Linked DNA regions of Canis lupus familiaris. The protein of the gene in region 2 purifies or fractionates together with the protein of the main gene of each other region. This does not show direct contact. Links are inferred from orthologs where the notes say so. Each region holds a gene or a part of one and is shown on either strand. Other genes may lie near its edges.

Region 1 (3,803 bases), on a different chromosome or scaffold from region 2:
CAGAGGGAGAACTACTGCTCCAACATTCTCTAAAGTCTACCACATACCTCCTCTACCATGGAAAAGGCTCCCATCTTACCCTTCAAAACTTCTGTAATGTCAAGATAGCTCAAAGACTCAAAGGTTTTACCTTATCAAAAGAGCGAAGGTCATAAAGTTTAACCATTTCAGAATTGACACCTGCAGCAAAAATTAACCCTTCTGGATCAAAGGAACAAACTGGCTTGCCTTGTAGATGCATGAGGCCCTAAGAAAAAATAAAAAGAAAAGTTAATGAACCCAGGATTCTACCATTATATAATTAATTTTTTCCAATAAAAACTAAGAAAGGGACACAAAAAAGGATACCTGCCTACCTAGGGAATGAAAAAGCAAAAAACTAAAATGAGGGTTTTTACAAACACATCTCCATAAAACTAGCTTCATCAGCCCTAACTGTACAATTCTATAAACACTGAATTCAAATAAAAGCTATAGCTCACAGGTTTTAGGAAAACGGTTTTGAAAGCAAAAAGCCACAGAGCATAACACAATATGCACTGGATTAGTGTATTTGCTTAATTACCAGCTACCTACCAGGAAGACAGATTTTCTCCAAAGTTTAGAAAGACTCTGGGATCTCAAAATAGAATCATTACTTTCTCCTTTCTTTGAGAGGAGGAGCTGATGACATTGCCTACCATAGAAAACACTCAAAGTGTAACTGTGAGGTACCATTACCTGGCAGTTAGGAGACCGGAGATCCCAGAGTCGAATGGTCTTATCAAGAGACCCAGAAATGAAAGTGTCATCCACAGGTGACATGGACAAGGCCACCACCCTGCAATGCATCAAGATAAATAGGAGTTGAAGCAAAATATTTGCAAAAATTGGATGTGAACTCTAAACCCCTCTATCTACACCTGTTCTTCCAAAACTGCCATTTTAAGAAACATACATATACAAGTAATCTGGAATAACCAAAGGCAACTAATATAATGAGAAAAGAAACAAAACTACAACATAAAAATGTAAATCAAACCACAAGGAGATATTACTTCACAATAGATAAGTGTTGGTAAGGATATGGAGAAATTAGAACTCTCACGCATTGCTGACTGGAATGTAAAATGGTGCAGTTGCTTTTTAAGTTTTCCAGTTCTTCAAAAAGTTAAAGACAGATAATTACTAAAGGGCCCAGAAATTCCACCTCTAGGTATATACCCAAGGGCAATGAAAGTATGTCTACACAAAAATGTACACATATGTCCACAGCAGCATTATTCATATTACCCGAAGAGTAGAAACAACCCCAATGCCCATCAACTAATGAATGGATAAGCAAAATGTGGTACATACATATAATAAAACATTATTTGCTAACAAAAAGAAATGAAGCCCTGGTTCATGTTACAACATGTATTCACCTTGGAAACATAGTAAATGAAAGAACTGGACATAAAAGGCCACACAGTGTCTCATTTACACAAAATATCCAGAATAAGCAAAGCTATAGAGACAGAAAGTAGATTAGTGATTGCTGGGGACTTGAGAAGAGGGAATGAGAAGTGACTGCTAATGGGTGCAGGGTTTCTATTTGGGAGTTATGAAAATGTTTTGGATTAGTGATGATTGTTGCCCAACTCTGTGAATATACTAAAAACCTGAACTGGGTACTCTGAGAGGATGAATTTATGGTATTAAACTATATTACAATTAAAAAACAAAACAAAAAACTCTCATGATTCCTTAGGGTTTTGAGGACTACACTAACAGTCTCAAACCTGAGTGCCATTTGCATCACCCGAGGGGTGGACTGAAACACAGACTACTGGGATCTACTCCTAGAACTTCTAATCCAGTAGGTCTGGGGTGAGGTCTGAGAACTTGTACTTCTTTCTAACAAGCTCCTAGGTGATGATAAGACTGTTGGCTTGGGCACCACACTTACTAAGCCACAGGTCTGTGCTAATAGCAACTGTATTTTTGATATGGGTCCCCTTTTGTGGTTATAGCATTAAGAGTCACTCACTAGAAGACCTCTCTTCAAAAGGTTCACCCTGAGCTCTCTTGTCCCCTCTGCTCATTTTCTCACTCTACCACACCCTGCTCTGAAGATACACACTGCCTCCCAAGCATTTGGGCCTGGCCTGCAAGGAAGGACGGCACGTGGCTCTACTTCATCTGCCTCTCAGAACACACCACAACCCCAACCCAAATGAGGGGAGCTAGGACCTATATAGCACCTATGATTCTACAGTACCACCTACAGAGAAAGCCCTTGTGAAAACAGACATTTGGATAACTCTTCCTTCCGAATTATGGAAGAGTAGTTCCATACATTCTGGCTTGGCTGTAAAACACTTCACAGATACAGGAGCTGATATTATAGATGAAGATTATAAAAGAAATGTTGGTGTTGTGCTATCTCATTTTGACAAAAGCTTGAAGTCAAAAAGATGACCAAAATCGCACAGCTTATTTGTGAATGAACTTTTTTTTAAATTTTTATTTATTTATGATAGTCACACAGAGAGAGAGAGGCGGAGACATAGGCAGAGGGAGAAGCAGGCTCCATGCACCGGGAGTCTGATGTGGGATTCGATCCCGGGTCTCCAGGATCGCGCCCTGGGCCAAAGGCAGGTGCTAAGCCGCTGCGCCACCCAGGGATCCCGTGAATGAACTTAAAAAAAAAAAAAAAAAATCTAGAAATAGAAGTTGTTCAAGTTTTGGATGACACTGTAAGGGGTTCAGGAAGTTTTCGTGCCACTGGAAAGAATTAAAATTTATGCCATGAATAGAAAATGAGAAAATACACTTTTTTAAATAAAGTTTTTATCTAAAGAAGAATTTCTAACAATTCAACTCAACTAATATCTGGACTAGTTCCTCAACTTAAACATTTAAAGATATCGTAAGCCAAAATTTCCTGAATGCTGAGGTGGTAATAAAAGAGTGAGCAGAATGCATGTGGACATGTAATTTTAATGCCATGGTATTCAGGGCAAAAGCTCAGAGGAAATCTGTCTTGGCACAAGACTCTATGCTAAGAGATAAAGGATATACAATGAGAAGCAAAACCTCAACTTTAAGAAATAAGAAAGCTTAACTAGCCCAAAGAAATCTGAGAGATGGTCAGAGAAGGCCTTCCAGAAGAAGCAGCACACATAGAGGACAGGATTTCATCGGGAAATGCCCTTACAGAAAAAGTGCCAGGTAGGAAGGCATGAGGTCCACATTCAGGAAGCAGCCCAGAGTTCACCTTAACTCAAATGTCAGGAGATAATGCTAAGAAAATGAGAGCTGAAGGGAGGCAAGCTTGATTCCAAAGGAAAGGAGCAGACAGATACAGCGAACCATTAAAGTTTCCGGGCAGAGACTGTGAAGTGGTCAGAGCTGTACATAGGATGCTAAAGCAGGATGATGAGGGATTGGGAGATTAATTAGGATTTGCCAATAATTCACTTGATATAGGGCATGAGCTGGGGCAGAAGAAAAGGAAAGAACAGAGCGAAGTGACACATGAGGTTAAACCTAGGCAGAATCAATAGGATTAACAGCTCACTACATGTGAAAGCAGGGAAAGAAAGCAAACAAGTAACAGAGGCTTTGAGTCAGGATAATTAGAAGAACAGTGATGAGGAAATATGACACAAACAGAGAAGAGTGGGCCCAAGGCATGTAACAACGAGGGATGGTGTGCTGGACCTATCAGGTGGGGGCATGAAAGAAACACCTACTTAGACGTATATAAAACCTGGAGGTGGAAATGGAGTCTGGAAATCAGAATAGACATGAATTGAAAACACTGTTTTGGGAAGCCA
Region 2 (4,565 bases):
TCTCCAAGACCACACCCTGGGCTGAAGGCGGCGCTAAACCGCTGAACCACCAGGGCTGCCCTAACACTATGATCTTAAAACAATTATTTAAACCCCAGTATTAGGGGGATCCCTGGGTGGCGCAGCGGTTTGGCGCCTGCCTTTGGCCCAGGGCGCGATCCTGGAGACCCGGGATTGAGTCCCACGTCAGGCTTCCCGTGCATGGAGCCTGCCTGTGTCTCCGCCTCTCTCTCTCTCTGTGACTATCATAAATAAAAATTAAAAACAACAAAAAAAGGATGACATTAAACCCCAGGATTCAGCTAAATGGGAGTAGTAGTTCCTCTTAGTACAGCTGTGAGGGTCTTAGTCCAGCTTTACGCTTGCACACCGTTTGAACCAGGTCGATCGCTCCCTCCCGAAGCACTTATTGCGAAACTTCCCGGTACCACGCTCCAAGTTCTGAAACTTCCCGGAGGCAGTACCAAGGCCCGCCTCTCTCGCACCGCCCTAGGTGACGTCACCGACCGAGGTCTCTAATGACGTCAGCTCCGGGCCGGCTCGGCTCCATCCTCCCCTTCTCCGGAAACCTACAACTCTCGGCACCCGGCCTCCAGCTTTCGGTTATTTTTTTTTCTCTTCGTAGCCCGAATTCCTTCCCTCCCATTCTCCCACCTAAAACTTTCAGCTCTTCCCGCCTTCCCTCCAGCTGGCAATTTTCGGTTCTTCCCGCTTGCTCTCGGCCGAATTTCCCACCCTTTTACTCTGTAAATCGCCTTTCGAGCCCCGCCCTTCGGCCTTTTCCGTCTAAATCCCTCTTTCGGCTAATTCCGCCTCCTGCCGTCCACCTCGGATGCCGCCTTCGGCTCCTTCCGGATCGCCTCAGTTCCTTGTTTTTCTCCCCCCAACTCCGTCCTGGTCCGCTTCGGCTATCTCCGGCTCCCGCGGCTTTCCATCTATCCTTTAGCCACACCCACGCTGCTACCTTCGGCTCTTTCCGCTCCCCCCCGTCTCCCGCTCAGGCGCTTTCGGCTCTTTCCGCCTTGCTTCGGCCTCACTCTCTCCCTTCGGGTCTTTCCGCCGCCCTTCGGGAGCGGGCCGGTGCCCCTCTCCACGTGACGCCGCCTCCGCCTCCTCCTCCCAGTTCCCCCTCCCACCTCGCCCTTCCTCCCGCCTCAGCCTCCCGGCTCCTCTGGGCCGAGCCGCCATTTTGTGTGAATTTCAGACTGCGGCGGGGGCCGAGCAGCCGGGGCACCGAGGGCGGGCAGACAGACAGACAGTCGGCCCGTCTCCGCAGCCCGTTTCCTCTCTCCTTAAAATCCTTTTTTTTAACCCCCTCGCTCGCTCTCCTCTTCTCCCCTCTCCCCTCGCTTGCTCCATCGCGCGCGGCCCGCGCTAATTACACCCAACCACCCACCAGTGTCCGTGTCCCCCGGGTCCCCCGCCTGTGGGCCCGCGGGGGAGGTGTGTGTGGGGGCTCTCGCCCCGATGAGGGCCCCGCGCCCGTGAGCGAGTGACCCCAGAGGCGGGCTGCGGAGAAAGGCGGCGAGCGGCCCGCCGAGGCCTAGGCCGCGCGGCCTACGCGGAGGTCGGCGCAGAGGTGATTCCGAAACCGAAAAAATATATACCCATTCCTATCAGGAGCCCTCAGAGCTGAAGTGTGCCCCTCCCGCCACGCCCAAGCAGTCCTTTTTCGTGCATTAACATCCCCTCCCCCCCAAAGGAACTATGGAGGCCGCGCCCGGGACCCCCCCGCCGCCACCATCAGAGTCGCCGCAGCCGCCATCGCCGCCGCCGCCATCAACGCCTTCGCCTCCTCCGTGTTCCCCCGACGCCTGCCCGGCCGCCCCGCACCTCCTCCACCACCGCCTCCCGCTCCCTGACGACAGGTCAGGCCCCCGGCCCGGCCGGGGCAGCGTCCCCGGGGGGAGGAAGAGGAGGAGGAGGAGGAAGGGGGGCGGCCGCCATGTTGGGCCGGGCCGCGGAGGAGGAGGAGGAGGAGGAGGAAGGGCGGGGTCGGTGGGTGTCTCTCGCTCGCTCGCTCTTTCTCGCTTGCTTTCTCTCCTGGCCTCATGCGTTTCCCCCCCCTCGCGGCGCTCGCCCGCTCTCCCTCGCTCTCGCTCTGTCTTTTTTGGGCGCCATGCTGAGGGGAAGGTGAGGAGGCGCCCCCGGACCCCCGCGCCCGCCCGCCCGCCCTGGGGAGGGGGCGCTGGGGGGGGGCGCTGCGGAGGCCCACGGGGGTCCTGGCTGCCCCAGCGCCCGGAGCTGGCAGCCATGGGCCCGCCTGCCCGTCGCCTGGCTTCGGGGAAGGGGATGGGGGAGGGGCTCCCGGACCCTTTTGGTGGTGGTGGGGATCTCGAGGAGTATCCCCGCTCTTAGGGGTTTGGAGTTGGGGGTCTCCCAGTCCCTGGCAGTATCCTTTCTCTTGGGGGAGGTGTGCCCTGCCCTACTTGGAGAGGTACCCTAGTTTTCTTAGGCAGAAAGTGGGGTTTCGTTTAGTCCTTTTTTCATCCTTTTAGTGGGGGGGGTCCTTAGGGTGGGGGCACTCGCACTTTTATTTTTTTTTGGCGGGAGGTGGTTCCTAGTTATTCCCTAGAGGGCAAAATTGGTGGTGGTGGGGGGGTGCGGATCTCTAGCTCCTTTGATGGAAATCCCTGCCTCCTTTTGGGGAGAAGCCCCTTCCCCGTATTTTTCCTTAAAGGCAAGGGTTCTCTAGATTTTCGTAGGTAGATGATGCGTTTTTGGAGGGGGGGGGGTGAGGTTTGGTTTCCCTGACTTGGAGGGGAGAGGAAGTTGGTCTCTTCTTTCTCATGGGTTCCCTCCTCTTTGGGGCTAAAATGGGGCGCCATCCCTTCCGGGAGAGAAAATTAGGGTTTTTTTTTAGTGTTTTGGCAGGGGTGAAAGGGAGCGCCCCCCATCCCTTCCTCTTTATAAAGTGCGAAATGGGTTCGCCCCACTCCCTTCCCTGGAGGGTGATAAAAGGGCCAGCCTGGCGCGTTTCAGGGCCCTCGTTTGCCCTGCTCCAGCAGAGGGTTGGGTGCAGGGTTTACCCTCCCTTTCCCGGTGGGGCAGAGGAAGAGGTATCTAGAGACTGGGTTTGGAAATGGAAGGTTTTCAGCCGGCAGGAAAGGCAGCCTGAGGAGGAGTGGGGGTGGGGAGGGGAAGCGATCTCGCTGGACAGATAGATGGCTGCCCCACAGCAGCCCGGGCTGGGGAGCCGCTTGAGGACCCTCTCCTAGATCAGGGGTCTTAGCTAGGGCCTCCTTGCCAGGCACCATGGCCCCTTCTCCCCACTTCCACCTCCCCTTTTCCCTTTCTCCTTCACAGACCATACTTTGCCTTTTAAAAGAAATGCCACCCACATTCAGAGACACAAGTGCAGCAGTTTGGTGAGCTTTTACAAAAAAAATTTTTTTTTTTTTTTTTGGTTTTCTGTTTTGTTCTAATTAAATGTATCGTCCTGGGAATCGCAGCCCATCGCAGCCTGCCTCCAGTTCAAGGAAATAAACAGATTAGCAAAGGTCTGTGCGCTAAGCCCACGTTGGGTTTCCGGGCCCCCTCTTGGGGGCAGGTGCATTACTCAAAGGTGCTTACACGCTTTATTCGACCTCTAAGGAGTTCTCTTATGTCAGAAGTGTATGTCTTACAATGGGTTGGGATGGTAAGTAGCCTCTTTTATTGAGTAATTCAATTATCTCCCTCTTTTTGTCCCTTTTCCTGCCTGCCTTCCTCCTGCCTTTAAAGACCAAAGTGATGCTTGAGTGAATTTATATGTTCGAATCAGGATTCTAACCCAGTTGAGCCCTTTTAGACTTGCACATCCTTTCTATCTTTAGTTTTTTTAATTTGTCGTACACAGTTTTCTCAAAGGAAAAAAAAAGCGTTACTGTAACATGACAAAAACTTATGTAAAAGACCCGTAGGTTTTCAAGCCCTTGGTTTCCCTATCTCCGTTTCAGTCCATTGCTTTGTCTCCAGCCTTCATCTTTGAAGAAAGTGGATACTTCAGATCCATTTGGTAGGAGACAAGGTTAACTGAATTCGGTTTATGATACTTGCATTCGAGTTAAGGTTCTCCCCTCCCTCCACCCCTACTACTACCCCCCCCTCCCAAAAAAAGATTGTGGTTCAAGTAGATCCAATTTGTTCCTTTTACTCCCAATGTCTCTTATGGTGATGGACGTTTAAATTGAGCAAGTCATTTGTAAAGTACTGTTTAAGCACCGAATCTGTAAAGCGTGTCAAGCCCCAATCTCCTCTCCCTGTCTCCACTGTTCCTTTGTTCGAAAGCACATGCCTGACCGTGAAAAGTTGATGCAAACACGCCCAGTCATGGTGGAGAGAACACTTCCTCCAGCCCCCTGCACCCCCCTCCCCACACATACAAGATAAAAACAGCAACAGAAATGACTTGCAGAACCAAACAAGTACTTCTGATGTGTTTTACAAGCATAAGTTCTTCGTTAAAAGACAAAACACGTTGAAGTTCCATTTTCCGTCTTCCCCACTTTTGGTCCCTAATGTACTTTGGTAGCAAAAACTTTATAACACACAGCCCCATTTTCCCCTCTGAAAGATCCTGTTTC

The links.
Region 1: the proteins of ZC3H4 (region 2) and WDR82 purify together in Homo sapiens (affinity purification with western blotting; 4 studies listed by BioGRID and IntAct, with this or other methods). This does not show direct contact. The link is inferred for Canis lupus familiaris from reciprocal best matches to the Homo sapiens genes ZC3H4 and WDR82.

The regions. Positions count from the first base shown.
Region 1 is NC_049241.1:37,911,818-37,915,620, reverse strand, and holds part of WDR82 (WD repeat-containing protein 82), read right to left. Parts: intron 821-3,803; coding exon 721-820; intron 248-720; coding exon 131-247; intron 1-130. UniProt on the Homo sapiens protein: Regulatory component of the SET1/COMPASS complex implicated in the tethering of this complex to transcriptional start sites of active genes.
Region 2 is NC_049222.1:109,556,679-109,561,243, forward strand, and holds the start of ZC3H4 (zinc finger CCCH domain-containing protein 4), read left to right. Parts: upstream 1-1,707; coding exon 1,708-1,868; intron 1,869-1,930; exon of another isoform or gene 1,931-1,945; coding exon of another isoform or gene 1,946-1,998; intron 1,999-2,004; exon of another isoform or gene 2,005-2,119; coding exon of another isoform or gene 2,120-2,133; intron 2,134-3,306; exon of another isoform or gene 3,307-3,330; coding exon of another isoform or gene 3,331-3,368; intron 3,369-3,461; exon of another isoform or gene 3,462-3,617; coding exon of another isoform or gene 3,618-3,640; intron 3,641-4,565. UniProt on the Homo sapiens protein: RNA-binding protein that suppresses transcription of long non-coding RNAs (lncRNAs). LncRNAs are defined as transcripts more than 200 nucleotides that are not translated into protein.